7 linked regions of the Macaca fascicularis genome follow. The protein of the gene in region 3 purifies or fractionates together with the protein of the main gene of each other region. This does not show direct contact. Links are inferred from orthologs where the notes say so. Each region holds a gene or a part of one and is shown on either strand. Other genes may lie near its edges. The genes, in order: IFT20, MED9, MED4, CCDC138, CDK19, MED12L and CDK8.

Region 1 (4,685 bases), on a different chromosome or scaffold from region 3:
ATAAGGATAAAACCATCTACATCAGTGCTGATATGAAGATGAAAGGAGGCCAGGTGTGGTGGCTCACGCCTGCAATCCCAGCACTTTGGGAGGCCAAGGTGGGCAGATCACTTGAGGTCAGGAGTTTGCCTGACCAACATGGTGAAACCCTGTCTTTACTAAAAATACAAAAAAAAAAATGGCTGGGTGCAGTCGCTCACACCTTAATCCCAGCATTTTGGGAGGCTGAGGCAGGTGGATCACCTAAGGTTGGGAGTTCGAGACCAGCCTGACCAACATGGAGAAACCCTGTCTCTACTAAAAATACAAAATTAGCCAGGCGTGGTGGCGCGTGCCTGTAATCCTAGCTACCCGGGAGGCTAAGGCAGGAGAATCACTTGAACCCTGGAGGCGGAGGTTGCAGTGAGCCAAGATCGCACCCTTGCACTCCAGCCTGGGCAACGAGAGGAAACTCCATCTCAAAAAAAAAAAATACAAAAAAGTAATCTGGGTGTGTTGGTGCACACCTGTAGTCCCAGCTACTTGGGAGGCTGAGGTGGGAGAATCTCTTGAACCTGAGAGGTGGAGGTTGCAGTGAGATTGCGCCACTGCACTCCAGCCTGGGTGACTCTGTCTCCAAAAAAAAAAAAAAAAAAGATTAAAGGAAATAAAGACTGGCGTAAGTTCAGTAGGTTAAGTGGACTAGAAGTTATTAAAATCTTTTTTTTTTTTTTTTTTTTTTGAGACGGAGTCTCGCTCTGTCGCCCAGGCTGGGGTGCAGTGGCTGGATCTCAGCTCACTGCAAGCTCCGCCTCCCAGGTTTACGCCATTCTCCTGCCTCAGCCTCCCGAGTAGCTGGGACTACAGGCGCCTGCCACCTCGCCCAGCTAGTTTTTTGTATTTTTTAGTAGAGACGGGGTTTCACCATGTTAGCCAGGATGGTCTCGATCTCCTGACCTCGTGATCCGCCCGTCTCGGCCTCCCAAAGTGCTGGGATTACAGGCTTGAGCCACCGCGCCCGGCCTTAAAATCTTAAATGAAAACTCACCCACCCACCCCTCTAAACAAATCAAGAGGGAAGAAAGATGAGAGGGTAGTAAACTAGGGTCCCAGGCCAAGACGTAGGCAGAAGACATGCTGATCTTACCTTCATCTTTTCATTTTCTGCTTCTTTTGCAAGTTGATCAACAAGCTCAATTAAACCACCAACTATTTTCTGAAACTGGCCAATTTCTTTCAGAAAAAGAACAAAAAATAAAATATTTCCTCAGTCTCATCACTGCCCTTCAGTAAGAGTGCTGAGGCAGTGCGAGGGCAGAGCTGACTGCCCCTTCTAATTTGTGTCAAAATAGTTTGGTGTGAGCCAGGCATGGTGGTGAGCACCTGTAGTCCCAGCTACTCAGGAGGCTGAGGTGGGAGGATCACTTGAACCCAGGAGTTAGAGGATGTGTGATCATGCCTGTGAACTGCCACTGCATTCCAGCCTGGGGAACATAGCGAGACCCTGTCACTTAAACACTTTGGTGCCTATTGGCCTGTCTCCTACCCTTGGTCTGAACCTAGAGAAGGGTGGCCAGCTGGACCAGGACATACCCGGACCTTGTGTCCCCACTGAGCCAACCAGCTGCTATGATCTCAGGCTATGAAAGCACTAGGCCCTTGCTGGGCTCATCCTCCAGACAGACCCCAACCTGCTTCCCCAGGAATGACAGGAAGCACTGTTGTTCACAAAAGGGCAGCCTCAGGACACAAGCGCTGCCTCTGGACTAGCTACGGGTATGACACCAGATTTCAATTAACAGTGGGGATGGGGGCTTCCCACTTGTAACCACAGAAAATAGAGAGCTCACAGCATTAAGTGCCTAATCTCCTGTTCACTTTCTCCAATGTCCTGGATGTGACGGAAACACAACTTACTGAGGGAAAACTAAGGCCCAGAGAGGTGTGTGCATGGCACATCAATCACAGAAGGTTAGTGACAGAACCCAAGCTACCTTTCACTAATCAAGCTCTCTCCACAACCTAGGAAGCCCCCAGAAAGCTCAGAAATCCCTTGCTCTAGCTAGATAGGGCTCTGTACTGAATGCATTGGGCTTACTTGGCTGCTGGGACAGGAGGCTTCCTGAAGATTTCTAGCCAAAAGATGACTTCAGTAAGTCTGTTGAGCTGCTTCTAGAAACTTCACTTATCACTTCTAACTCCAAATAACAGAGAACCTGCCACTAAGAAGACTTCCTCTAAAGAAATCAAATCAGGAGTACATAATTCTATTTCTCACCCCCAAGCCATGGTTATGTTCCCAGAAAGTTTAAGGTTTCTAAGAGCAAGAAATGAAAGATGGCATCTCTAAAAACACCCTCCCCATCCCAGTGTTTGGTTTGACTGGTGCTCTGCTGGGGACACATGAGAGCACGAGGGCAGGCAGAGAAGGGTGGCACATGGGAACTCACAGATGCCAGATTCGACCTCCAGGGAGCCAGCAGCTCCACTGTGGCAGGGCCAAGATGAGCCTGGGGTACAGTTGGAATGGCAGCTCAAAGCTGAGTGACACGGTATCTCCCCAATACTCACTGTCCACAAAGTCTTTGCACTCTTCCTTCAGCTCTATGGTCTGCTGGGTAACCTCTGGGTCCAACACCCGCAGCTTGTTCAGTTCATCAAAGTGCAGCCCTGCTTCACCCAGGATGTCCTTGGCCATGGCTGCAAAGAAACCAGCCCAATTCCTCATCACTTCCTAGCCACCCAATGAAATGCCTGCTGCCAAGCCAGCCCTGTTCCTGCCCTTGGACACCAATGCCAAAAACCCAGATGTTCCAAAGGCTCCCCATTCCCTCTGCCACCACCTCTCTGAGCCTCACCTGTTTCCCATCCAGACTTCCTAGAGGAGTTCTGCTCTGAAGGAGTGACAGTGGCAGTCAGGAGGAGGTGTGTCATAGGAGCAAGGGTCAGGAAAGAATAAAGTCCGCTTACTTGTCACAGGCATCGTTCATTCAACACACATTTCTTGAGTGCCTACTACATGCCAACACTGCTAGATGCTGGGGGTACAAAGATGAATGCAACACGGTGCCCGCCCTGAAGACACATAGTTCAGCTGGAGGAAGACAGACACGGAAACTGAAAAATCACACTGTGTTAAATGCTTGTTTAGAAATATCAGTAAAGAGCCAGAGGAGGATAGAGCCGTTAAAGAAGGAGTGACATCTGAACTAAGTTGTGAGCCATAAGTGTATTTACTTTATATATCACCAGTTATGTACCCAAAAGCACATGAGAAGGCTTCTCAAATACACATACTGGAACAACACACAAACCAAATAAAAGAAATCTGGGTGAATTAAAAATTATGGTTAAAAAATACAAAGTCAGGAGTAAGAATATTACTCAAAATGTATGCTTGCCTGAATTGGGAATCAAAGTTGGGTTATTCTCTTTCTAGCAGAAAACACAAAAAGGAATGAAGTATCAGCAAGAACGTATCAAGGCAGCAGGCCAGGGATAGGTATTCCAAGCAGAGAAAACAGCATGGACAAAGGCCTGAAGTCACTGAAAGGACCTACCCCGCCTAAGGATGAAAGGAAAAAGGATGGAGCTGAAAAGGTGAGCTGGAGCCAGACCAGGAAGACCCGTATGCCAAGCTAAGGAGTTACGATTTTTTCTGTAGGCAACAGAGAACTAACAAAGATATCTTCTCCCTTTCCAAGCCACCTTGCATTTCTGTTCCAAAGGATGCCTCAATTCTGGGAAGGAAATACTGAAAACTCACCCTCGTTCTGGCTCAAACACACACACACGCACACACACACACAAAATTAAAAATAGACATCATATGACCTGTTTAAAAAGGGAGGCAATGCTAGTTACATCTAGCAATTAGCTGCTATGCCAATTCTAAAACCCAGGTGCTCCAAAGTCTACCATCACTTGGACCTGCACCAGCCTCTTCCCTCTACCCTCACTGCCCCCAGCCTCAGCTGTTTCCCTCGTGGCTTCCTTAGAGAAGTCCTGTTCTGAATGGGGTGATTCTGGGGGTGGCTGTCTAGGGCAGGTGTGCCACAAGAGGAGCAATGGTTCGAAAATAATCAAGTCTCACTGTTTCCAGAACTTCTGGATCTTTTGTTGTTGTTGTTATTGTTGTTGTCGTTGTTGTTTTGAGAAGGAGTCTTACTCCATTGTCCAGGCTAGAGTGCAGTGGCATGATCTCGGCTCACTACAACCTCCACCTCCTGGGTTCAAGCAATTCTCCTGCCTCGGCCTCCTGAGTAGCTGGGATTATAGGCGCCTGACACCTTGCCCAGCTAATTTTTGTATTTTTAGTAGAGACGGGGTTTCACCATGTTGGCCATGGCTGGTCTTAAACTCCTGACCTCGTGATCCACCCACCTCAGCCTCCCAAAGTGCTGGGATTACAGGCATGAGCCACCGCACCCGGCCAGAACTTCTGGTTTTTAAGAGGACCAGAAATCCAATATCTCAATGTTGGTATGTAATTCAAAACTTTTAAGTAAGGGGGAAAACCCACATTCAACACTGCATGGGCTAACTAATACGTGTCTATGAGCTGTCTGTAGATGACTTTAGCCTTTGGCCTCACTGGAATCCACTGATGTAAGTGAGCTAGCATCATCCTTTTGAAGCACTGTGTTCATCTGTAGCTTCCTTAAAATAGGGCTTTTTAAAAAGATCTGGCCAGTGCAGTAGCTCAT
Region 2 (3,580 bases), on a different chromosome or scaffold from region 3:
TGAGACCCATCTGGAAGCAGGCCCATCCTGGTGCCCACCCCCACCCCCTCACTCCAGGGTGCCACCCTGTCTGGAGACAGGGAACTCCTTGGCCTCCGCTCCCCACTAGCTCCAGGCAGTGCTCATGGCCAGGTGTGGAGCCCCATGCCCCGCTCAGCCTTGCTGTCTCCCTCATGGCTAAGGCACCCTGGAGCACCACTCTCTTTGCCACTAGTACTGTAAACCTGTGGTGGGCGACACCTGCCAAGCCTCAAATTCTTCACCCCAGGAAGAGTGAACACCCCTGGCATGGGCTCGCTATGGGGATTAAGTGCGATGTTTGAAAAGTACTTAGCACAAATGCTGGCCACCCAGTAATCCAAATAATTGGTGGCTTTGAGAGGGTGCTCAGCCCTGTGAGAGACACTCAAAATCGTCTGAGAAGGATTTCAACCCTGCTCCAGTGAGGGTGGCTCCTCCTCCAGTCACAGAAAGGCACCCCCCACCCCGCCGCGCCCCACCAGAAGAAAAAAAAAAAAAAAAACGCAACCACGGATGGCCCAGGGGCTCGTGACAGGCACTGGCAGGGATGACACGCCAGGCAAACTGCCCTTGAGGCCAGCCAGGAGAGGAGTTCCTGTTCCATACTGGTTCAGCAGGTGTGTGTCCTGGGGCGGAGGGAGGTGATAAGCAGAGGTGTGGTTCTGTGTCTGAATAGACAGAAACATTTTTCTCTCAACTCCCTGAGAGCCATCCCACTATGAATTTCTCAGTCCAAAAAGCATGATGTCCTGAGACAGCAGAGCGTAAGTCCTTTTAATTATGCATTTGAAAAATGTTACAAGTCAACAAAGGAACACAAGGCAGGCTCCGGCTCCCTCCGCCCCTACGAGGAGCCCTTGTCCATTTCAGCCTTGCACTCAGAAAGACCCTGGGGGTCTTGTATTTTCCACGTGCTTCATGTTTCATGGTATCTGTCAGAGCCTTAAAACTGGCCCACCCACTACTGTGAAATTTCAAGGAAATAACTGATTCAGTTAAATAACAGTCCCAAGGTAGAACTGGTCTCACAGGTGACCACTCGCTTAAATCCAGAGCCTGCTTTTCTGCCCAAAGCCACTGAAATCTGATCTCCTCCTTCACACAGCCCCAGGTCCCCAATATGCCACCCACCTTCTGACACGTGGCTACAGGTCTACACTAATGGAAGCTCTGCTAAAAACATCTCCACCCAATCCTCCTGCCAACGAGGTCAGTTGACGGGCATCTGTTAAGCCCCTAAACTGGTCAGCGCAGGTTATGTGCCCATTCCTAGACCCAAACAATACTCCAGGACTTCACACCTCCTCCTCGAGAGGAAAGGGAGAGAACTGCTCTTACCTCAGTCTGACAGGCAAGGGAGAGCACACAAACAAAACGTCCCATCTGGAAGAAATCAGGGAAGCTGGGGAAATGAGGGCTGTTCACAAACTTTTAAGAGCTCAAACTTGGCTGTGTAACTTTCAGACCTAGCTCATGGTCGGGGACCACCTGAACTGGCCCCCAGGGTTGCCGCTCTCTGAACACAAGGTGCATAGTGAACCCCTCTGCAGTGTAGTACATGTTGCTGCCACAAGTGCAAAGGCCAGAAGGAAAAGATCTTTTAACCAGAGCAATGGGAATCTGAAATGCCAGAAGGGGGAAGGTCTGTTCGCCTGAAGACCTCTTCGAGCCTGTGTGGAAAGGATGGCCCCTTGTCAACCCTGGGGAAGCACATCTGAAGCGTTTTGTCCACTCTTGGGCACTGACTGAGGGTGATGAGCGAGGAAGGGAGCAAGAGGTGACCGCGAGGAGAGCCCAGGAGGCAGGGAACCTGGAGGAGGCAGGGAACCTGGAGCAAGGGGCTGCCTGGCAGGGCTCTGGGCTGACACCCCCACAGCTATAGTTCCATTCACTGGCTCAAACATAAAAGGAACCAAACTGTTTGGGAAAAAGGCCACCCTCTGGCCTTTCAAAACATTATCTCACAGTTCTACGCCATATGAGCGCAGGCTTAATTCATCCAGTGAATTCTATGCAAATGTTTCAAGAAGCTGCTTTAACGGGAACAATGTGTACCTGGTACACACTGATCCTATGGGGGTGGGAGGAGAGGGAGGGAAGGAAGCAAAGAGGAACTGCCTCCCTTCCTACTGTGCTCTTCAGATCTGTCAGTGGAGCCCGGCGCAGCAGATGGCCCCCTCCCCAGCGGCAGGGGAGAGCCCTCCACCCCCTCCGCTGCCTCCAGGAGCATTCTGACTTCCACCAGCAGGCACTCCAGTTATTATGCATCTAGACATATGGATCTACACGAAGAAACCCAGCGCAGCCAAGCTCGGTGCTGGCTCCCGCACAGGCGACGCACATGCAGCAGCACAGGAGCCCCGCCCCTGCACCTTGAGGTTCTGAGCTGGGGTCCACAGGAACCACGCCCCAAGGAGACTTTGGGGATGGTAGTGGGGAGACAGGCCATTGGCTTCCCCCCGTTTCTCAGGAAGTCGGCCTCACTCTACTCCTTGGGGATTTCGAACATGCAGAGGCTCTTGTACTTTTGCAGAAGCTCGTTCTTGGTCCTGACTTGCTCCCGGAGGCTCTGCAGCTGCTGCTGCTGCTGCTCAGGGCTCAGGTGGATGCCGGGCATGGTGCTGATGAGCTTGCGCATCTCCTGGAACTTGGTTTTGAGGGCGTTCAGGTCCTGGTGGACCTCCGGGCTGTCCTTGTCCATGCTGTGGGGGAAGAACAGCTGTTAGCATTCGCAGCTTGATACATGTCTTGGCTTTCCCATCCTGCACCCCCCAGAGCTCGCTGTCATTCCTGCGATAGCTTTTAGAACACTTCATTTTATGTGTCTAGCCTCTGACTAGGCTGTCCACCCCCAGAGGAAGGGACGGGTTCTCTTTTAGGCAGCCAGCAAAGAGCTCCCAGGCCTAGAACACTTGCAGATCACACACAGACACTCTTGATCTTCTGTCAAGTCAACTGTCACTCTGTGAGGTCAAGGACCATGTCTGTCTGGTCACAGGTGTCTCCCTACCCTCGGCCCAGTGTGTGGCACACTGCAGGCACTCAAGAAATGTCTGTGGAAAGAATGAATGCTTGGCAAATAAGCTCATGAACATGTTGGTTCAATTAACAAACCAATACCAATATCAGGTGACAAATGCCAAACAAAACTTGCTAAAATATGACATTTTGTCTAATTGGAGCCATTTCTAGGCCAATCAGGAGGCTTCACCAGCTAGCAAGAGCTAATTTTAGCTGAGGTTTTGATGCTGGCTTGAACCTCTTAACATAAAGACTAATTTCCACAGAGCTGTTCATAAATTTTAAATTAGTTAAAATGGAACTGATTTAAATGTCTCAGCAGACACAGGCTCTCTTCTGCCATGGTGATGGACACTCCCTGCCTTTGATTCAAGTTCACTTTCAAGGCAGACCGTTCGTTCTATCTCACAGCTATTAGCTGCACAGAGGTCCTACTCAATGAAAAACGAGGCAAGAACAATCTCCCTTAAGATTAAAAAAACAGCCTGGCAGTTGCTCTTATACATTTGTTTGTTTGTTTGTTTTTTGAGACAGAGTC
Region 3 (4,179 bases):
AGCCTCCCAAGTAGCTGGGATTACAGGTGTGAACCACCATGCCCAGCTAAATTTTTTTGTATTTTTAGTAGAGATGGATTTCACCATGTTGGCCAGGCTAGTCTTGAACTTCTGACCTCAGGTGATCTGCCCGCTTTGGCCTCCCAAAGTGCCGGGATTACAGGCACGAGCTACCATGCCTGATTTTAATTTTTTTTTTTTTTCAGACAGAGTCTCGCACTGTCACCTGGGCTGGAATGCAATGGCGTGATCTCGGCTCACTGCAACCTATGACTCCCGGGTTCACACGATTCTCTTGCCTCAGTCTCCCGAGTAGCTGGGGTTACAGGCACACACCACCACACCTGGCTAATTTTTGTATTTGTAGTAGAGACGGGGTTTCACTATGTTGGCCAGACTGGTCTCGAACTCCTGACCTTGTGATCTGCCTGCCTTGGCCTCCCAAAGTGCTGGGATTACAGGTGTAAGCTACCACGCCTGGCCTGATTTTAATATATTTTAAAAAACCATTTACTAGTGAGTTGTTTCCTCAGTAAGGGTGATTAATTTACCCTGAACTACGCAGGATTCTAGTTACTGGAGCTCATTTTGACACATTTGTTAAGAGATTCATCAGTGGTTAAGGATGCCAGCAATGTCTGGTCGACATGAGAATTAAGCTCAGCTATTTCTGCAATACTCTTATATTATATTAGTTAGTATTTAGTGAAGTAACTGGGCAAATAGTAGCAAATAAATTGCCTCTTTGAAATAGTAGCCAAGAACAGCAAAGGAAAAACTCAGATCCTTGATATATGTCCAAAGCCTACCTAGATGAGGATGAATGACTAAATTAATGTAAATTTTAATCAATTTATAAAATGTGTACATATTTTTACTAATTTCAAAATATATAAAAAATGAAAAATGTCCCTGATTTTTATCTTAAGGATCAGAGACCAAAAAAAAAAAAAAAAAAAAAAGATTTAGACTACTGATATTAAAATTTATATCAGACCAGGATAAAAGTAAAACTTTCCACTCCTATAATTCAATACTGTAAAATCCTTAAGTAATGAAAATGTGGCTCACAAGTAATGCAGGCTATCTGAAAATGTAAGTAAAAAAGAGAATGACAATAGCCTTTCATTCAAACACGGGCAATGGTTAGTGACAAGATGTCACTTTTAGACTTGGAAAGTCTAGTTTTTTTGGCCGGACGCAGTGGCTCACACCTGTAATCCCAGCACTTTGGGAGGCCGAGGTGGGCAGATCACAAGGTCAAGAGATGGAGACTACGGTGAAACCCCGTCTCTACTAAAAATACAAAAAATTAGCCGGGCGCGGTGGTGGGCCCCTGTAGTTCCAGCTACTCAGGAGGCTGAGGCAGGAGAATGGCGTGAACCCGGGAGGCGGAGCTTGCAGTGAGCCGAGATTGCGCCACTGCACTCCAGCCTGGGGGACAGAGCGAGACTCTGTCTCAAGAAAAAAAAAAAAAAGGAAAAAGTCTAGTTTTCTGCTCTTCAAAATACTGACAACAGATTTTTCAGAAACAGATTAAACAATATCCTTTTTAACCTTAAGAACCAACCTCTGTCAACTTACCAGTATCTGTTCTGCTTCCTTTAGCTGTTTTTGTAGTTGCTGAATATCACTGTCTCTCTTCTCTACTTCTTTTTCTAAAACTTGCATTTCATGATGAATTTTTCCCTGATTAAGTGCCAATTTCATTAGTTCTTGAAATTCCCCATCTCGGTGAATTAACAACTCCAGGACCTGTCAGATAACAGTCAATTAAATCAAACAATAGACTACTGAAAGGCTGCACTTCAATGAAACAAAGAATCCATAACTGAATTGGCTAGGCTATAAATTTCAACACCTTCAAAGTATTATTCCCAATTCTTGTTAAAAATAAAAATAGCCTACCTATGATTATTCTGGGAAACATAAATATAAAACTTTTCTACTTTTTCAGCTATTCTTTCATACAAAACAAAATAAAACTAGTCTTTCAGAACTAACAATATGGCAACATGAGCAAGTTTAGTGATTTCCTAGGGAAGATACAATTCTAAAGTTTATCCTTATGGCTGAGCACAGTGACTCATGCCTGTAATCCCAGCACTTTGGGAGGCTGAGGCTGGCGGATCACTTGAGGTCAGGGTTCGAGACTAGTCTGGCCAACATGGTGAAACCCCATCTCTACTAAAAATACAAAAATTAGTTGGGTGTGGTGGTGCCTAAAATCCCAGCTACTCAGCAGGCTGAGGCAGAATTGTGTGAACCTGGGAGGTGGAGGTTGCGGTGAGCCAAGATCATGCCACTGCACTCCAGCCTGGGTGACAGAGTGAGACTCTGTCTCAAAAAAAAGAGTTTATCCTTAAAAATACAACATAGGTCAGGCACGGTGGAGGCAGGCGAATCACCAGAGGTCAAAAGTTCGAGACCAGCCTGACCAACATGGAGAAACCCCATCTCTACTAAAAATACAAAATTAGCTGGGCATGGTGGTGCATGCCTGTAATCCCAGCTACTCGGGAGGCTGAAGCAGGAGAATCACTTGAACCCAGAGGCAGAGGCTGCAGTGAGCTGAGATCGTGCCATTGCACTCCAGCCTGGGCAACAATAGCGAAACTCCATCTCAAAAAAAATATATATATAATGAAGGTTCTCCCAAAACTTAGTATTTGAGATGATTTTAGGTGGCACCAAGAACTTAAAAAAGCTTTTACAGTTACACATTTGTGCTAATATATATTAGAAAAAACTGAGACACTGAAACTCTGATTTTATGCACAGTATTACTTATGATGAAGATGATCATAAAAATACAGTGATTTTGCCAGGTACAGTGGCTCACGCCTGTAATCCCAGCACTCTGGGAGGCCGAGGTAGGCGGATCACAAGGTCAGGAGTTTGAGACCAGCCTGACCAACATGGTGAAACCTCGTCTCTACTAAAAATACAAAAATTAGCCAGGGGTGGTGGCACACGCCTGTAATCCCAACTACTCAGGAGGCTGAGGCAGAAGAATCACTTGAACCCAGGAGGCGGAGGTTGCTGTGAACCCAGATCATGCCACTGCAGTCCAGCCTGGGTGACAGAGCGAGACTCTGTCTCACAAAAACAAAACAAAACAAAACAAAAAAACAGTGATTTCATAAAACAGTAAATAAACAAGTGGTATGCAGATATGGCAAAAAACCATGAAGCCTAAAACACATAAAATAGAAAGTCTGGTGGTTCATATCTCTAGTCCTCCATTTGCTAGCTGTGTGACATAGGGAAAGTTACCCGCCTCTCTGAGCCTGTGTTCTTAATTGGAAAAGGAATATAATATTAATAGTAGCCATTACATAAAGGTATTGTGAGGATTCATGATATAATGCACTTTAAGTACATACAGGAAGAGCTCAGCAAAGGCTAGTTATTACGATCACCACCCCAGTACAGAATTAAGATGCAAGTTTAGTCTAAATACCCTTACTTTACTGTGCTAAGTAGAGAATACTACTTCAGAAAGAAAACAGCTGTCAAAATTCAGAATCAATTTTAAAACTATTTTAAAAAATTTGTTGAAGACTAAAAAATACAGGTATGTCTCTTCAAGTTCCTTTTGACATGAAGTTCCTCTCATTTTTATAGAAATTCTTCTAATACAATAGACAAAAGACTGAGCTACAAACTGCCAAATATTGAGTATTTTAAATAACAACAGAAAGCTTTTTCTGTAAAAAGTAAAGTATATTCTATTTATTTAATAGACCTCTAATCCTCATTCCTCCTACATCGTAGCAGAAAGCTAGGCTTCCATTTCTGTAAAAGCTGTATTATTAAGGTAAGTAGTACACATTAGTTCCATGACAACTTTCAAGAAGTTTTCACAGTTTGAACTAATTTATATACTACCCACGAGTAAAAAATATTCTCTTTAGATATTATTGTTCAGTAGAAAAAAATTACTCAACTAAAGTCAGAAGACCTAGGTTCTGGTTCCACTCACCATTAACCTCTAGCTCATCGGTTCACCCTGGAACTCAGTCTCACAGGAGGTTGAACTGAACATCGTTAAGATCCTAATTCTAAAATTCTATGTAACATTATAACTATTCAAATAAAATGGTGGCTAGAAAATTTTCAAATGGCCACATTCCTCTCTAATATTAACAGTTTCAATGAAAATTACACAGGAATCCA
Region 4 (4,179 bases), on a different chromosome or scaffold from region 3:
TGAGTTATGCAATTCTGTCTTTTGATATGCTTATTCATTTTGTATAGAATGAAAGACGTATTTTCCTCTGCTAGGCATTTAAACTGAGGAGTAAGCACCTTAATCTGATCAGGAACTGCACTTAATCAAGGCCAGGTTTCAATTTAGGAAAGTTCTGTCTCCCTCTAATTCACCCAGTCCCAAGGCACAACCCTGCTCCTTTCAACTGAGATCTTGGGGTGTTCACTGGGACTATCTCCCCATGATGACGCTTGAACATTAATCCTTGCCTCCTCAGTTCAGCTAGACTTAACAAGAAATGCTTTTAAATTATTAGAAAATGTATATCCAGTGTTAGCATAAATTACTGTGTAAGTCAGTCACAGAAATAACATATCTTTTTCTTCAGCAATTTCAAAGTACATGTCATTCATCTGGCCAGGAGCTGGCTAAATATGCCCATTGCTTGTTTTTATAAATACAGTTGTTTTGGAACACAGCCACACTCATTCACTTATTGCCTATGGCTGTTTTTGCATTATGATGGCAGAGCTGGGTCAGTAAAGAGAGACCACATGGCCTACAAAGCCCAAAATACTTACTATCTAGTCCTTAACAGAAAAAGTGCGCTGACCTCTGATCTATTCTTAACAAAGAAACCATAAAAAAGCATTCTGCCACATTTTTTCAGTTTGTACACATTAGCTCATAAATCCAATTACCAATAGGTCCAAATATTTAATAATCCACATATCCACCCCAATTACCACACACGCATGCAACCACATGCAAAATTATTAAGGGTTACAGAAACCTAAGAGATGGGTATGGGCAACAGTTTATCTAGCTAGGAATTTTTAAAATCCTCATGAGAGAGTGGTAGAATGAGACTGTAATGAGAAAAAGTGATCTCTCCAGGGATAAAGCGGGATTCCGAACAGACAACAGGCCATCAAATTCATAGTCCAATAGTAACAGTCATAAATGAACTGAGGAAAGCCAAAGAATTAGAATCAGGTGAGAAACAGGGTACCTATGTATCACTGCCAAGGAGGAGGATCACAACAAGTAGAGATTAAAGGGAAACAAAAGCAGAAACAGAAAAGGACAGCTGGCAAAGGAACTCCGGGAGAGTCTGAGGCTTAAGTTACATTTTATAATCCGTACAGATTCACAGCCCAATGCTTTCATTTTCAAAGTGACGGGGTTTACTCCAATTTCTGCTCCAACATCTACTCCCCACACAATCTAAAAAATACATAATCTTCTCTTGTCTCTCTTTAACATACTCCTTTACTTTCACATCTTTCTGCCAAAAACTGGCAGAGGGAAGGAAAAAAATAGACATAACTCACAAAAATATTTATGTTATGCAACTTTGATATTATGTATTAATCTAAATTACAATGCTTTTTTTTTTAATTTTTTTTTTTTTTTTTTGAGATGGAGTCTCGTTCTGTCGCCCAGGCTGGAGTGCAGTGGGACGATCTTGGCTCACTGAAAGCTCCGCCTCCTGGGTTCACGCCGTTCTCCTGTCTCAGCCTATCGAGTAGCTGGGACTACAGGCGCCCGCCACCTCGCCCAGCTAATTTTTTTTTGGTATTTTTAGTAGAGACGGGGTTTCACTGCGTTAGCCAGGATGGTCTCGATCTCCTGACCTCGTGATTCACCCGTCTTGGCCTCCCAAAGTGCTGGGATTACATGCATGAGCCACCGTGCACGGCCTACAAAACTTATTTGTAAGTATACTGCAATGTGATACCAGTTTATAACCATGAGAACACGAGCAATGTGAAGGTCTGAGTCTAGCACGATGCCTAGGATATAATAGATACTAAAAAATAAATGAATGTTAAATAAGTAGTGATAAATAATAAGTATTAAAGCCAGACATCACTACCTAAAAATGTAATTAGTTCTCAGGTTATCAGGTTTTCTTCTTTTGCTTGTCTTTTTTTCTTTTGCTTGTCTTTTTTTCCTTTGCCTGTCAGTTGGTTGCAGAACAAATAAAGAAAGAAACCAAAGAGTTGAAGAATATTTTATTTACATTTGGAAGTATTTTAAAATAAAGCTAACAAATGTAATCCAAATTTTCTCTAGCCGAAACGTGTTCTAAGGCTGACTTTAATTTGTTGTATATGAAATATGGTTCTTAGAATGTCTTATGTCCAATATCTATTCAAACTGGTCTTACCTGTTTTTTTAAGGTATCATTCAATTCTTTCAACGCATCAAAAGAGGACCTCAGTCTCTTGGTTTCTTTATTCTTTTCTTTAAGAACTTCAGTTAAGTGTTCAACTTCTGCATCATGTTGCTAGGAGGAGAAAAAAGAAACAACTGTGACCTAAAACTTGTAAGGATTGTATATCACTAATACTATGGAACATGAATTAATTACAAGTAAGAACTCCTTCAATCACAAAACCTTTAATAAGCGTATTTAAGCACAAGTGACTAGTGTGGCAAATAATTTATAAAAACCATGCAATCTACCAAGATAACAACAAAACGTCAAAGGCATTTACAACATACTTATTAAAACATATTAGCATTTACAAAGTAGCAGTAAGTCTATTTTCTGCTTCTGCTCAGAAAAATCCACTCACGCAAACTCACAGAAATATTTTGTTTGACATCATGGAATAATAAAACAATAAAGAATTTCTGATACTCTTCAAGAGATAAGTAAGCTATTTATGGCTTTATAAAGTGTATAATTTACATTACCCTTGAGAAATAGAAGAAATCTTTTATAAAACCAACTAATTTCTTGTCCTCATACAGCAGCTAAAATTTTTGATGCCTGCTTTTCATCTCAAAACATGTTAAATACATAATACAATTTCTGAGCCCCAAACGATTTGACTCTTCTTAATCAGTTTTAAAAATAACTCAAATCAACTTCCCCTCTCATTACATTTAAATGGGATAGCATGTTTTAGATTTCAAATGTGAACACTTAATAGTTTCACCTTTCACTCTCAACCTACTCACAAAGTTTTAAAACAAGTCTCTACAGGAAATAAAAAAACTGAATTAATTCCCTTCTTCCAAGTAATGATATAAATATGATGAAAATAAGGCAATTATCTTTATACTTAATAAAATAGATACACAAATCTAAAGAGAGAGAATCAAGAACAAGACTAAAATGGAGAGATCAGAGAATCTAAGCATCCTTTAGCCCTGTGAAAAAAATCCAATATTCTAAGAAGTTAATCTTTGTATGATTTTACTATATTAATTCCTTTAATAACTTGGGATATAGTCACAAATAGTTATTTTTAAAACTAATATTTTCATTGTCCAACTTTTTCCATATCTAAAAGATATTAAAAACATATGCATTCCATTTCTGGCACAGCAGGATAAGCTCAATACAGTCTTCTCCCACTGATTACAGCAAAAAGCCCTAATTAAAACAAAACAACTAACTGACAACTGTGAAAAGAAAAAAGGGGAGGACATTGTGATGAGGGAGAAAACTTGTAGAAGCAACTCTCAAGGGTAAAGTTTCCTGCATTTTTGTTTTTCCTCTTCTGTCAACATTTTGCCTCAGGGTGGGTCCCAGACACAGAGAAGTAGAACAAAAACTTCCACTAGCTGGGCACAGTGGTACACATCTATAGTCCCAGCCACTCAGGAGGCTGAGGGACGAAGATGACTTGAGAGTGCAGTGAGCTATGATGACGTCTGTGAATAGCCACTGCACTCCAGCCTGGGCAACACAGTGACTCTGTCTCTGCAACAATTAAAAAAAAATTTTTTTTTTAAATTTCCACTAAAGCTCTAAAAAATGTCCACTAAAGAATGAGAGAAAACCAGTCTTCCTGCAGGAAAATCAGGAAGAGGGGCCCCGACGAGCCAGAGTGTAGGGAGAATCCCGCAGAAGAGAGACTCAAAGAGGATCCTCTCACTCTGGTGTTTACGAACCTGTACAAATTGGGCTCACCTTTGAGCCGCTCAGGCACAGGACAGACCAAAAGCAGTAGAGCAAACACTTGGAGAATGGAGCTCAGTTTAAAACCGTTACCTAAGTCTTGGCTAACACTTCAATGCCTCTTTACCTGCACAAAAAAGACCCAGAGCACCACAGCAAAAGCTTTGAGAAATGCATCAGGATTTTAAACTGTTACCCAAGTCTCAGACCGACCTTTAAGAGGCACAGGCACAACTCCACAGCAACACTGCAAAGGCTTT
Region 5 (4,179 bases), on a different chromosome or scaffold from region 3:
CTTGTTTTCATTCATACCTCTCTACAGCTTTGCCTGTTTCAAAATGTGGAAGCTTTCTCTTGAGCAGTCTTTAGGTGGCATCACTGAAAAAGTTAAATACTTCAGTAGCAAGTGCTTCCCTTGCTTTCAAACACCACGCCACCTCCTCAGCCTGGAGCAAAGGACACAGAAAAGACGGGACACATACTCTAATGTTGGCAAAGGGTCCTCCTGAAAATAGGGATCCTGCAGAGCTTGCTCCGAGGTAATTCTCTTGGTTGGATCCATGGTCAGGAGTTTCTGAAGCTAGAGTGACACACAGGAAATGCAGAGCACATGAAAAGGTTGTTTACAAGTCAACGCCTTGCCTTTTGTATTCCTGTGTAACAGGATTAATATAAAATACATTTTGTATACCTCACTGCAGATTAAGCATACTACATACTTTTATGTGAAACTGGCAGAAATCATCAGCCTTAAAGCCCTTTTAAAGTTCATTTTCTGCTGATAAATCATTTAAAGTGAAGGCTGAAAGACAAGGGTGACATCTCAACAAAAAATATTTAATTTTGCCCCAGCATCCAACAATTTCTTTTGTTTCTAAAGAGGAGGAACAGCTGAGTGAACAGAAGGCGAGAGTTGTGCTGAGAATCAGATTTCAGTCTGGGAGAGAAGCACCTACCAAGAGGAACACTTTGCTGTCGGGCTTGACCTTGTGTTTCTCCATGTACTTTATGAGGCTACTGTTGGCATACCTGCAAGGACACACACAGTCACACGTCACTGGGAACGCTCATCCAATTGATATTTTTTAATGACAAGCTCCAAGATTGGCTTTCCTATAAGGTATGTGTTTAAGACATTGTTTTTTCTGATTAAGAAGGAACACATTACCAAATATTAGCAAATGTGTGAAGAAATAGGAAATGTCACACATAACATGAGAGTTTACACTGTTACAATCCCTTCGGAAAACAGTTATGCATTAACCATTAGTGTTGAAAATGTGTATAGCCTATGACCCATCAACTCCATTTCTAGGCACAAACCTGAGTCAAAGGATGCTTTTGCACATGTATATCAGGATACATGGATAAAAATGTTCTTAGCAGCATTTTAGTAATGGTCATATATATATATAGACAACCCAAATGTCCATCAACTGAAAAATGGGTACGTTTTTATATATACACAGAATGGAATGTTATACAACAGTAAAAACGAATATGCGAGGTTAAGTGAGGAGAAAAAGCAAGTTGCAGAAGAAAATACATAATATGTTACCATTTATAAAAAGTTGAAAGACAATAAATTGAACAATATTTTTAGAGTTACATAAACATGTGGACTAGAACTCTAATAAAAACTGTGGGATGATAAACTCAAACGCAGAACACTCAGAGTCTATCCTCTGGGAGGGAGGTGGATAGGGAGATGGGGCACACAGAGTACTTTAGTAATCTTAGTGATGTTCTAATTCTTAGGTTCAGAGGTGAGCAAAGGGGTATTCATTTTATTATTCTAAATATACTATATGTTTTTTCATTATATATTATTTCCTACATATGAAATATTTCAAATTAAAAAGGTCTAAAAATAGTTAATATATGTTCATGATAAAAAGAATTACAGAATATAGAAAGTATAAGGAAGAAAATTAAAATCACAATCAAGCCACTCCGTGGCCAAAAAACCACTGACAAAATTTTTATAATGTCCCTTTGGCGTTGTGTGTGTGTGTGGCATATACATACATGGTATAAACACAGGAATTTTTGCTTTGTTTTTATAAAATTGGAATCCTACTATAAAAATTGTCTTAGCTTTTTATTTAATATTGTTCCATAAACATTTTCCCTTGTCAAATACTCTTCAAACTTATTGAGTGGCTGCCTATCTCCTACTGGTACGGGTATTACTCGTTTCATAATAACTGTGGCATACAAGTCGTTGTAGCTAAATCTGATACGCATGGCAGGGAGCCGACACTGCCTAGCGGATGAGACTCAGAGACCCCTCCTAGACCCTGATTCAGTCATTCACCAATTGTGTGATCTTGGGCAAGTTAGTTAACCTCTGTGAAAGCCTTAGGTTCCGAATCTGAAAAGTGGAAACTGTAATTATACCTACCCTATAGATTTGCTAGGAAGATCTTAGGAAAAAATGTCGGTAAAGGGTTTAGCACCACCCTGGTATATAAGAAGTACTCATCTATTTGTGGCAGCTCTGATTACTTCCACAGGATAAATTCCAGGAATTATCAGGTCAAAGGGCATGCACATTTTAAAGTCTTTTTTAGGTGCTCTAGAATCTCACTACACAAATGTAGCCTTTACCAGCAACCTGGGCATCACCTGAGAGCCTGCATTAGAAATGAAGGTTCTTAGTCCTCACCCCTGATTCTGACTTAGAATCTACATTTTTAACAAGGTCTCCAGGTGGTTTGTAGGTACACTGAAATTTGAGAAGTACTCATTCTCTCCAGTAGCATATGAGTAATAATTTTTAAAAAATAAAAATAGAGATAGGGTCTAACTATGTTGCCCAGGCTAGTTTCAAACTCCTGGGCTCGAGATCTTCCCGACTCAGCCTCCCAAAGTGTGGGGAGTAAAGGCATGAGTGAGCCACTGTGCCTGGCCGGAATGTCCATTTTACTGTACCCTTGCCAACAAGGTACCATACAATGTTAAATGAAAATAACTAGTTTGGTTTTGGGTGTTTAAAGAATTTATAGAACATTCAGGTTGGGATTCCATAAGGCAATTAGATAAATGATTTTGAAACTTGGAAAAGTGAACGGAGTAAGATACATATTGGGAGTTATCCACATAATGGATGGTGAATTGTGGCCATCAAAATCATGACATCTGACTGGGAAAGTATCCAGAGTGAGAAGAGGGCCCAGGATAGAACCTTGATATTAGCACTGTCCTTGAGAGATGGATACAGGCAAAGGACCTCACCAAGGATTGTGAGAAAAAGGGGTCAGAAATGATCAATGCCAATCTCTATTTCTCTTAATGATGTCTGCTTTTGTTCCTATAAGCCATCCTGTCCTAAAATTTTCCTGGTAAGTTGCCAATAGAGAAGCTCTTCCACAATTTTCGGTAGGTGTGCATATTTATAACAAACACCTCACATGCCATCACCCTTAATCTCATTTCTGCTCAAAGTAAATGCCTTCATCAGTTTGTTTTACTCATATTCCAAGCCACATGTTCTTCCTTCTGCCAGCCTTCCAGGTTTCCTAGTCCAGCATATCAGTTACCAGTCATTACTCAGAAAAAATAAAACCACAGCTGTGGCCTTGAACGGAGACCTTTATTCATGCTAAAACATAACAGACATAAACTACCCATTGACCCTTACATTCTTAAAAGTCTTTAATACTGCAGCCTAAACCTGAACTATATACGTTAATGGTATCTGGAATACCTTTTGTAAATCACAGGCATAATTAGTATGCTAAAATCTCAGTTTCTAGTTTAAATAACAATCTACATATGTTTTTTAAAAAGATTAACTATTCTCATTGAAATTACTACCTATAATTAATGTGCACTATGGTTTGAATGTTTATGTCCCCTCCAAAATTCATGTTGTTGAAACTTAATTCCCAATGCAACAGTGTTAGAAGATAAGGCCTTCCAGAATCGAGGGCTTTGCTTTCAGGAGTGGGACTAATGCCTTGTAAAAGAGGCATCACACAGCATCTGCCCCTTTTTGCCCTTCTATCTATGTGAGGACACAGCAACAAGGCACCACCTTGGAAGCAGAAAACAACCTTCACGGGACTCCAAACATGCCAGTGCCTTGACCTTGGATTGTCCAGCCTCAAGGCCTGGGAGAAAACAAATTCCTGTTGTTTATAAATTACCCAGTCTAAGGTATTTTTTTACAGCAGCACAAAAAGACTAGGACTGTGTGGAATTACTTACGTTGTTCTTCTAAAGTCTTTTTGAAGTGTGGGATATTCTGGCATCTTTCTAATATCTTCCCAGTCTTTATCTTACAAAAAAATTAAATATTGTTATAGAAAATAATGTGTTAATTTAAAATCTCCCAATTATGTCAGTTTATAAATATACATTAAATTTTGCTTTTGAGAAGAAATGATTTTGAAATATGACTCAAAATACGACTTTAAAAAGGAAAATAAATTACCTGCAGGAAACCCCATGACACTAAATATCCGATCCA
Region 6 (4,179 bases), on a different chromosome or scaffold from region 3:
GCCTGTAATCCCAGCAATTTGGGAGTCTGAGGCGGGTGGATCACGAGGTAAGGAGTTCAGGACCAGCTTGGCCAAGATGGTGAAACTCCGTCTCCACTAAAAATACAAAAATTAGCCAGGCATGGTGGCAGGCACCTGTAATCCCAGCTACTCAGGAGGCTGAGGCAGAGAACTGCTTGAACCTGGGAGGCAGAGGTTGCAGTGAGCCGAGATCACATCACTGCACTCCAGCCTGGGCAATAGAGTGAGACTCTGTCTCAAAAAAAACAAAACAAAACAAAACAAAAAAAAAACAAAAGTTAGCTGCGCCTGGTGATGCATGTCTGTAATCCCAGCTACTCAGTAGGCTGATACTGGAGAATTGTTTGGACCCGGGAGATAGAGATAGAGGTTGCAATGAGCCAAGATCGCACTACTACACTCCAGCCTGGGAGACAGAGCCAGATTCCGTCTCAAAAATAAATAAATAACAAATAAGTAAAACAAAACAAAACCAAGGTTCAATTATCACCTGTAAATTGACTGTTCCCAATATTTGTCTTGAGATGAGAACTTTTTCCTTGGTGTAAAAACCACATATCCAGATGGATTCCAGATGTCTTACTACCAGGAAGTCCGCTGACACTGCAAACTCAAACTTGACCATGACTTTAGCTTTTTTTCTTTACACAAACTGGTATCAGATTCTCAGACTACTCTAAATTCCCTGGTAAATCTGATTCTTTCATGTCTTCTTATAAACTCTCCCTTTATTTGTACCACAATTTTCCCTACCTCCCAGCTAACTCTTAATCCTTCAAAATGACTCATGTCAATTTTCCTGGGGACCCTAGTCTATCCCCTAATACTGTCTCTGTACCATGACACACAAATCTCATCACACTGTAATTGTCTGTCTACTTCCCCCTTCACGGTAGGAACTCTTTCATCTTGGTGATTGTGGAATGTCTGTGGTTGCTTAATGTTCATTAAAAGAATAACTGACCACTTTTCTCAAACAATTTTTATTTGAAATAGCTTACTACATGAAGGTTTTCTTTTTTTTTTTTTTTTTTTCCCCCCAGAGACAGGGTCTCACTTTGTTTCCCAGGCTAGGGTGTAGTGGCTATTCAGAGGCATGAGCCTAGCACATTGCAGCCTTAAACTCCTGGCTTCAAGCAATCCTCTTGCCTCAGTCTCCCAAACAGCTGGAACTAAAGACATGCGCCACCATGCTCAGCTTACAAGAAATTGTGTATTGATAAATGTATTCTGCTTCTCAATCTGAAGTAAAACCAGAACTTATTTTTGCTATTTTTTTTTTTTTTTACACTAAGCTTTTACTTAGTTTCTCTTGGCATGTTTCAGAAATTTACTTAAATTCAGGGAAACATTTTAAGTCCTTTAAACATATAAAACGAAGATCTTCAAAGATATGACTTCTTTATATGATAATGCCAATGACTAAGTACACTTAGAAGACAAGCATATGCCTTAAAAACATCAACAGCAAAATTGAGATATTTTATATATCCTATGGTAAGACAAGAAAAAGTATTTGATTTTTTGTAAATAAATGTATATATGAGAAAAAACATTTACTCTTGCCTGTTTTTTATCTATAGAGTCAAATCCAGCAATTTTGTTTCCTTTTGTGTCAATCAAGGAACCCATAGGTTCACAAGTGATGACATCACATGTCTGTTTCGGCAAAGGTAGTAACTGTCGAACTTTGTCAATACTTTCTGATCGCTTGTCTCCTAGCTCTTTCTGAAGAAAAAAGAGAGAGAGAGTGAGTGAGTGAGTGAGAAGCGGGACAGAAATTACAATGAAGGCAAAAGTTAACCAGAAAGAAGGTTCCTTATGAAACATTTCCCTTTTTATAGCTTAGCGCATGTTCTTTAACCCTGAACATGGTCTACAAGGCAGTTCCAAATAGAGTAGTGAGTGTTTCATTTCTTCTATTTAAGTAGAAAATAGAACACATACACAAAGGCACTGTTGTTACACAACAAACATCGTAGTGCTGAAATGACAAAAATCCAGGGTAGCAGTCACAATCAGAATGCAGGAGCTGCAGAACAGAACACTTTCTCATGTCCAGGGTCAGATTACAAGGTAACCATTGATTTATTTGATTGGTAACGCATCAGATTTATTTGTTTTCTTTTTGCACTGTTTTCTTACAATTTTTTTAAAAGATTCTGTTAGTGGTCAAATGAATTGATTTATAAATATCAATGCAGATGGTTATTTTTTCAATTACACGTGCCAGTCCAAGCATAGAGTTATCCTAAATCTATCTAATGTTAGTATTCTGGTTATACATTTAACAGTGGATTTCTAAAGTTCTTTTAAAAATTAAACATGTTTTATAATATAATGTTAATAAAAAATAATCAAGGTTATGTGCTTGTAACTTCTGGGTACTGATAAGGTTAGGTGAAACAAATAGCAAATAATCACATTAAATTAAGTTGAATACAATTAATAACATTTAATTTAAGTAGTAAATTAAAATGCACTAGATAATAAATCCATGAACAACTTGAGCTCTTAATACAGGCTGATCTCAAACTTACTTTCAGTTTCTTTACTAAATTCATGTATGCACGCTTATTCTCTTCAGATCCCCCTGGGGATGCATTTGATAGGTCAGAGGCTAATGTTCCATTGATTAAAACACCCAGCATGTCAAGAACTGTTGTGAATAATTCACTAAGAAAGAAAGAAAATAATTGTTTTCATCTTAAAATGAAACTGAAATACACTTATTTAACTGAGTATTTTTATTCAAGGCACAAAATTTTTAATAGTATCCAAGTAAATAAGATGTGGCAGAAATCGTCATCAGTATATCAAAGCTTATACCATGCATACATGCAGCAAGATAAATGTGAAATGACAAAAACATACTTGTTAGTGTGCATGTCAACAGTTCCTGATGTAATGATCTGAAGGAGTAGGAGGGCCCAGTCTGTAGTCCACTGGGTGCTCCTCTGCACCGTGTCAAACATTCCTCCTACCTAGCAGATAAAATACAGTAAAATATTTGCATTCTGTAAAATAGAAAACAACATCCCATTGCTTTATGTGGTCAAATTTTCATTGTTTTTTCTTTAAAAAAACAAGGGATGCTCTAGTTTATAGATTATCTTATCTTTTCTCTCACTTACCTACATGTTTATCACTATTTTTAGTTCTTTCAGCACAGTTCATTCAAAAATTAAATAAAATGAAGAAGGGAAGTGAGTATCTGAATGTGGGCACCAATAAACTTAGTTTTCTTTTGTTCCAAATCTTTTATGATGTCCATTTTTATGATGCAATTATAGTTGAATTAAACCTGAATAATGCCAAAGTCATGTAATTCAATTATCTGCAACTTTGTGTTTGCTGTACAATTACTATTGAATCTAAGCCTGCTATCATAATACCATATGGAAACATCCACTAGCACAGCAGTGATGGGCAGGAGGCTTGGCCCGCACGCCTACCAGTTCACATGTTGGGACGAGGTTAGAAACAACTGCAAAAGTATCAAGCAGGCCATCCCCATAGAGGTCTGCACTTGGACCTGCCTGATGGGAAAAGAAAACTCAAAGGAGTGCACAATATGTGAGAAATTTTAAATTTCTTTAAAACTTCTCTGTGGGATTTGTCTTTATAATCAGTTTGATGGAAAGTTGGACAAAACTTTGAGTTAAAAGACTTTTTAAATGGTTTTAAATAAGTATAGTAGAAGCTAACACTTATAATAGTCTTCTCAGACCTACACTTAGCACAAACTGAAGAGAAGGAAAGATTCACTAGGGTAGAGGTAAAGAAGGCAAATCAAAGCTTAAAATACCTAGCACTGTCTGGAAGTATGACCAGACAGGAAGGAAAGCAGCAAGGGAAACAGAAGGCTTTAGAAACAGGGAAGTAGTTACAGAGAGCAAAGAGTGGAAGGCCTCACCTTGTAATGCAGACTCTGAACTTAGGAGAAGTGGAAAGCTGGAGTTATTTTCACATGTAGATATGTTTAATGAAGGGAAAATACTAGAAATGTCTCTTACCAAATTTAGGCGGAGTTGCAATGCTTCGTGCATCATCTGCCGCGCTTTTATGTCATCTTGGTATCGTTCTTCTCTCCAGTTACTTAAAATCTAAGATCAGGAAAAAGAAATCATTTTCTCTCCATTAAAGTTTAATTTTTCT
Region 7 (4,929 bases), about 21 Mb from region 3:
GAATCTTTTAAATCCGTATTTAGAAAGATGTAATTCTTTAAGGATGCAAAGGAGCAGTTCTGCCAGAGTCACCCAATTTACATCACTGAATGGAAACAAGTAATATGCCATTAATGAAAGCTTACATGTGTTTTGTGCTTTGCACTTAGCAAAGAAAAAATTCTAGGCTCCAAGAACACACTAATAAATGATAATACAGGATTCAAACCCAGTATACGAAAATACTAAATACTTATATAGTATGCTAGGTAAAAACAATTTAATTTTACACAGTGCTGAAGTCGCTAATTTTCCCCAAGGAAAAATTATGTAAGAGAAAGCCCTTTGGAGGTTTTTTCACAAGATGGTATCTTCATCATCATCATATGCATATGGATTTTTTTTGAGATAAACATGTTTATTCATTCATTAATTTAACAAGTGTTTACTGTGCATCATTATCAAGGCATGACACTAGGTTTTATGGAAGATGCAAATATGACTTCCTATAACAACTTAGGATCTAGCAAGGGAGAGGAAATAAAAGATGAAACGGAATTTGATAAATAACACAGGAAAGGTGGAAAAAAAGTGTTAAAAAGTTCACATTAAAAGTGCAAAGTTCCCTTTGGGAAGTGGGGAGCTTTAGTGGAAATGGTAACAATTGGAAACCAAAAATTAAAAACAGACAAATAAGAGGGATAAGATAAAATGATAGATTAGTATCAATCTTGAAGCAGGACTCCTGAAGCAGGACATACTGCTACCGCAAAATTATTAACAAACTAGTTCCCATGGATTTAGATCCTTTCTGTAATCATAGCTAGAAACTGGTGTTCTTATGGGGAGCATCGCAGAAGGCTGTACTGTACTCAATACTTCCTATAAATGGACAGGAAAGGTTGGATGGTCATCTGTCACAAGAGTAACAATGTTTAGAAGTAGCTTGGACAGTAGTCATTGATTCACTTTTACTGGAGCTTGTAATGTCAGTATGTTGACATCATTGTGCAGCCCTTATCAGATTGTGAACACCAAGAGTACCCCAACTGCTGGCCCGCGAGCTGTTTACAAATATATCCGCTTTTATAGATGACAGTGGCCTTTAACATCTGGAGTTCAGAGTGGCACAAAATGTGTTTCTAAAGCTACTCTCCTTCCCACGTGCATCTCTTTGGTCAAGTTTATGGCTGGAATCAGACTCTAGTTAGATCGCTATAAAAATAAAAATAAAAATAAAAATAAATTTTCCCCAAGTGATTGAAACGAATTTCACCCTAGACTACGAGTCCCAACATGCAACGCTCCCATATTCCCACCATGTGGGGCGGAGTCGTAGAAGAGGCGGCAGCGGCGGCGGCCTATGCATTCTGGGTATTGTAGTCTCGGAACCGGCCACCGCTGGGGCTGGTCCCACGTGTTGCGTTTTGCGGCAGCTTTGGGCAGCGGCTCCCCTGCTCCCTCCACACGGTCCTCAGGGTGCCAGCGCCAGCAGGGGCGGCCAGCCACCGCGGGAGCGGGTTGGAGGGTGGTTCGGAGGCAGCCCGAGGCTTCGCGACGTTTTTGCGACAGCCGCGGCCGTGTTCCGCGAGTGCCCTCCCTCCTCCTCTCTTTGAGGAGGTACCGGCTGTTGTGCGGCGCTGCCTTTCTGTTTGAGTGTATGGGAGAGTGAGTGAGTGAGTGAGTGTGAGCGTGTGTGTGAGCGCGTGAGGCGTGAGTGCGCGTGTGAGAGGACGAGAGCCCGCCTGGCCGCCCCGCCGCTCCCGCCGCAGCAGGAGCAGAACGCGCGACCGGAGAGAGCGGCGGAGCCGGCGCCCAGGGAGCCCGCGGGGACAAGGGCAGAGACACCGCTCCCCACCCCCAGCCCTCGTCCCTCGGCTCTGCTTCGCCGGGGGATCCTCCCCGTTCCTCCACCCCCGGCCGGCCTCTGCCCCGCTGCCCCCCTGGATGTCCCCGGCGCTTTCGCGGGGCCTCCTCCTGCTCTTGCCGCATCAGTCGGGCTGGTGCTGCGGCCGGCGGGCGTAGAGCGGGCGGGTTCCCGGGGGCTGCGGCTGCCCGTGCTTCCCCGGTCCCCACCCCTGCCCCCCGGCCCCCCGACCCAGCTCTCCGGCCTCGGAGGCTGTGACAATGGACTATGACTTTAAAGTGAAGCTGAGCAGCGAGCGGGAGCGGGTCGAGGACCTGTTTGAATACGAGGGCTGCAAAGTTGGCCGAGGCACTTATGGTCACGTCTACAAAGCCAAGAGGAAAGATGGGTGAGTGTGTGCGTCTGGGCCGGTGTCCGCGCTGGGCGGCGCTCCCGCAGGCCGAGGCAGGTAGCCCGGAGGGAGAGCGGGCCGCCGGGGTGCCGGGCTCTGACTTCCTCGACGCCGGCCTCTGGCTCCGCCAGCAAGGTTTGGGGAGGAAGTGGTGTACAAGGGATCCAAAGCCACAAGAAATCCTGCGTGCCGCATCTGTGTTGTGCTTCGGTGCTAAGAGGGAAGAGGAGCCTCTGCACCGTGGGCTATATACTTTTCAAGGATTTCAAAGCTGATTTATGAAAAAATGCGTTCTAAAACGCCGGGTGAAATGTTTCTGTTTGTTTTTTTTTCCTTGGTCGATTTATTATGGTAACCTTCTGGGGATTTCCTCACCCGCCTCGGGAGTGTCATCCATCGGTCTAGAAGGAAGGCTGTGATCCTTTCCCCCACCAGTTTGTGATCGATTTTTTATCAAATTTGTATTTTATTTGAGGGAAGGAAGGCAGCGAGTGAATGTAGTTCTGGAGAGAGTTCCCCATACGGATCATCTGCACCATACATGTTGCAGTTGCTATTTAGATATTATTAGCTGTGAATTTTTACATAGAACAATGGGGGTTTGGTGCAGGGTGGGTGGTGGGGAAGAAGACAAGTGACATAGGGACTATCTCGTTGAGGCTGTTTCCCCCAAATTTAGCGGCTGGCAGTGAACTTTAAATAATCCCTTTGCTTTAAATATTCTTCCCTAGTAACAACTTAATTAAACCTATGAGTGGTAATGCTTCCAATTTAGTTTCTTAACAGGCAAGTGAATTGTTCGTTTTTTTCTCTTTGTCAGTAGATGAATGTCTTGTAATATTGACAAAAGAGAAGGCAGTTCTTAGTGGGGGGGAATAATATATATTTTATTAACTCCATGTTTTCTTGTAAAATGGATGTTGTCTCTGTTGCCTTTGACAGAATAGAAAATTATTGAAAAGTCAAAGCTTATTATATAATCTTTGGATTTTATTAGAAACGAAGTAGCTTTACTGGAACATTCCAGTTTAGTTACCTGCTATATGATGTTTAATCACTTAAAATTTCAGATTAGGAGAGTATGTTCAGACTACATTAGCACGAAAAAAAATTCATAAAGCTGAAGTTCCCTAGTGTGGGGGAGGGGGGCGCATATTTATAAATACTTTAGTATTCTGGATGTTGGAAAGGAAAGTGTGTATTTATTCAACATTTTTCTTAGATTTACTGAAATATCTTTCTAAAAGTGTTTACAATGGACTCTACGAGGAAGATAAGAGTTCTCATTAATTTGGAATATGTATTTTAGTGCTTTTATGCCACAATAAAGTGGAACAGATCGGCAGAAGGTAGGGATTTGGATTTGAAAACTTGATACTCTGGGCGCCGCACGTATTTAAAAGTACTTTTTAGCACTGGAGAAATCAGCGTCTGGAGATACTGCTGACTCTGTTGATGTCTAATTAGACTTATTGTTGAAGTTTTACTCTGTAATGACATATATTTTAAAAATTATGTTTGATAACTTACCATACAATATTTCTCAAAAGCTTTAAACCATCTCTCCTTCCCCCAGTATTATGTAATTTTGGGCATATTCATAAAATCCCCAATCCCATGAGATTAGACATTACAGTGCATTTGACCACACTGTCATGTTATATAAAATTCTAGCGCCTTTGCATTATTTTTAATCTGTGTGAGAGAAGCCGCTTCTGTTTTCAAAAACTATGAACTTAAGCTAATAAAATATGCATATTTGTTTTAACGTTGTACTTTTATTAGAAAACTAATACTGTGTATTGGCAGGAGGTACTTAAGCAAATATTTTATATCTCCATGGTCCGGTTTTAATTTAGGTTGTTAAGAATAATTTGAAAGAATAATTTCAATATCTTTGAATTTAAAGATAGTTGAAGGTATAATGTATGGACATTCTTAGTCATCCGTGACAGCTGAAAAGTAACATTGCATTTTGGAAAAAAGAGCTTATTATTTGTAATCCTTGGCGTTTGTTTTCCATCAGTCTTTAATGATTCTCTTTATGTGATGAACTTCTGTTTTTAATGGATCAAATGTCAAGAGAGTTTTAAAATTACTATCTTTTAGAGATAGTTTTGGAGAGTTTTAAAATTACAGGGATTTTTCAGTTTGACTTCTTTTTTGTAACCTCACTCTGGTAAAATATCGCATACTATTTATGAGGTTCTTTTGATCTTATGTCAGTGAAATGTAATTTAATGCATTTTAGTCCTGGTAAAATAAAATTTGTGGCTGTTTAATCTTTTATAATAAGATGATGATCAAATAATTTGTTTCTAGTATTGATTTACTTTCAAATTACATTATATATTCTGCAGCTGAGATTTGTTCTCTAGGAACTCAGACGGTAACACCTTCAAGGAGAACCTGAGAATTTCTATAAAAGGAAATAACACAAATAAGCTTGGTTTAGACATATTTGACTATTGAAATGAATGTATGTAAACGTTGTATCCTTTCAGTTGCCCCAGTGAGCATAGAACATGAACAATTGGTAAAATAATTTAGACCAGAGGAGTTAGCTGCTTAAATTATTAAGTTTTAGGAAATAAAATAGCTTGAAAGATTCATTTTTTGACTTACTTGAGGCATGATTGCATGGTAGGGAAAAGGGACCTTTTATTACTGTGTGAATTTCAGATTATAATAG

Evidence for each region.
Region 1: the proteins of MED4 (region 3) and IFT20 purify together in Homo sapiens (affinity purification with mass spectrometry; 3 studies listed by BioGRID and IntAct, with this or other methods). This does not show direct contact. The link is inferred for Macaca fascicularis from reciprocal best matches to the Homo sapiens genes MED4 and IFT20.
Region 2: the proteins of MED4 (region 3) and MED9 purify together in Homo sapiens (affinity purification with mass spectrometry; 10 studies listed by BioGRID and IntAct, with this or other methods). This does not show direct contact. The link is inferred for Macaca fascicularis from reciprocal best matches to the Homo sapiens genes MED4 and MED9.
Region 4: the proteins of MED4 (region 3) and CCDC138 purify together in Homo sapiens (affinity purification with mass spectrometry; 3 studies listed by BioGRID and IntAct, with this or other methods). This does not show direct contact. The link is inferred for Macaca fascicularis from reciprocal best matches to the Homo sapiens genes MED4 and CCDC138.
Region 5: the proteins of MED4 (region 3) and CDK19 purify together in Homo sapiens (affinity purification with mass spectrometry; 7 studies listed by BioGRID and IntAct, counting the BioPlex papers as one, with this or other methods). This does not show direct contact. The link is inferred for Macaca fascicularis from reciprocal best matches to the Homo sapiens genes MED4 and CDK19.
Region 6: the proteins of MED4 (region 3) and MED12L purify together in Homo sapiens (affinity purification with mass spectrometry; 3 studies listed by BioGRID and IntAct, with this or other methods). This does not show direct contact. The link is inferred for Macaca fascicularis from reciprocal best matches to the Homo sapiens genes MED4 and MED12L.
Region 7: the proteins of MED4 (region 3) and CDK8 purify together in Homo sapiens (affinity purification with mass spectrometry; 9 studies listed by BioGRID and IntAct, counting the BioPlex papers as one, with this or other methods). This does not show direct contact. The link is inferred for Macaca fascicularis from reciprocal best matches to the Homo sapiens genes MED4 and CDK8.

Annotation. Positions count from the first base shown.
Region 1 is NC_088390.1:33,791,284-33,795,968, forward strand, and holds the start of IFT20 (intraflagellar transport protein 20 homolog), read right to left. Parts: upstream 3,059-4,685; 5' UTR 2,963-3,058; coding exon of another isoform or gene 2,950-2,962; 5' UTR 2,914-2,949; coding exon 2,838-2,913; intron 2,680-2,837; coding exon 2,551-2,679; intron 1,213-2,550; coding exon 1,127-1,212; intron 1-1,126. UniProt on the Homo sapiens protein: Part of intraflagellar transport (IFT) particles involved in ciliary process assembly. May play a role in the trafficking of ciliary membrane proteins from the Golgi complex to the cilium.
Region 2 is NC_088390.1:17,591,191-17,594,770, reverse strand, and holds the end of MED9 (mediator of RNA polymerase II transcription subunit 9), read right to left. Parts: intron 2,724-3,580; coding exon 2,507-2,723; 3' UTR 779-2,506; downstream 1-778.
Region 3 is NC_088391.1:27,205,051-27,209,229, forward strand, and holds part of MED4 (mediator of RNA polymerase II transcription subunit 4), read right to left. Parts: intron 1,756-4,179; coding exon 1,585-1,755; intron 1-1,584. UniProt on the Homo sapiens protein: Component of the Mediator complex, a coactivator involved in the regulated transcription of nearly all RNA polymerase II-dependent genes.
Region 4 is NC_088387.1:16,296,018-16,300,196, reverse strand, and holds part of CCDC138 (coiled-coil domain-containing protein 138), read right to left. Parts: intron 2,294-4,179; coding exon 2,174-2,293; intron 1-2,173.
Region 5 is NC_088378.1:14,654,420-14,658,598, forward strand, and holds part of CDK19 (cyclin-dependent kinase 19), read right to left. Parts: coding exon 4,144-4,179; intron 3,988-4,143; coding exon 3,918-3,987; intron 735-3,917; coding exon 662-734; intron 286-661; coding exon 188-285; intron 84-187; exon of another isoform or gene 1-83.
Region 6 is NC_088376.1:54,234,020-54,238,198, reverse strand, and holds part of MED12L (mediator of RNA polymerase II transcription subunit 12-like protein), read right to left. Parts: intron 4,128-4,179; coding exon 4,038-4,127; intron 3,006-4,037; coding exon 2,896-3,005; intron 2,698-2,895; coding exon 2,562-2,697; intron 2,098-2,561; exon of another isoform or gene 2,036-2,097; intron 1,750-2,035; coding exon 1,588-1,749; intron 1-1,587. UniProt on the Homo sapiens protein: May be a component of the Mediator complex, a coactivator involved in the regulated transcription of nearly all RNA polymerase II-dependent genes.
Region 7 is NC_088391.1:6,305,219-6,310,147, forward strand, and holds the start of CDK8 (cyclin-dependent kinase 8), read left to right. Parts: upstream 1-1,593; 5' UTR 1,594-2,106; coding exon 2,107-2,234; intron 2,235-4,929.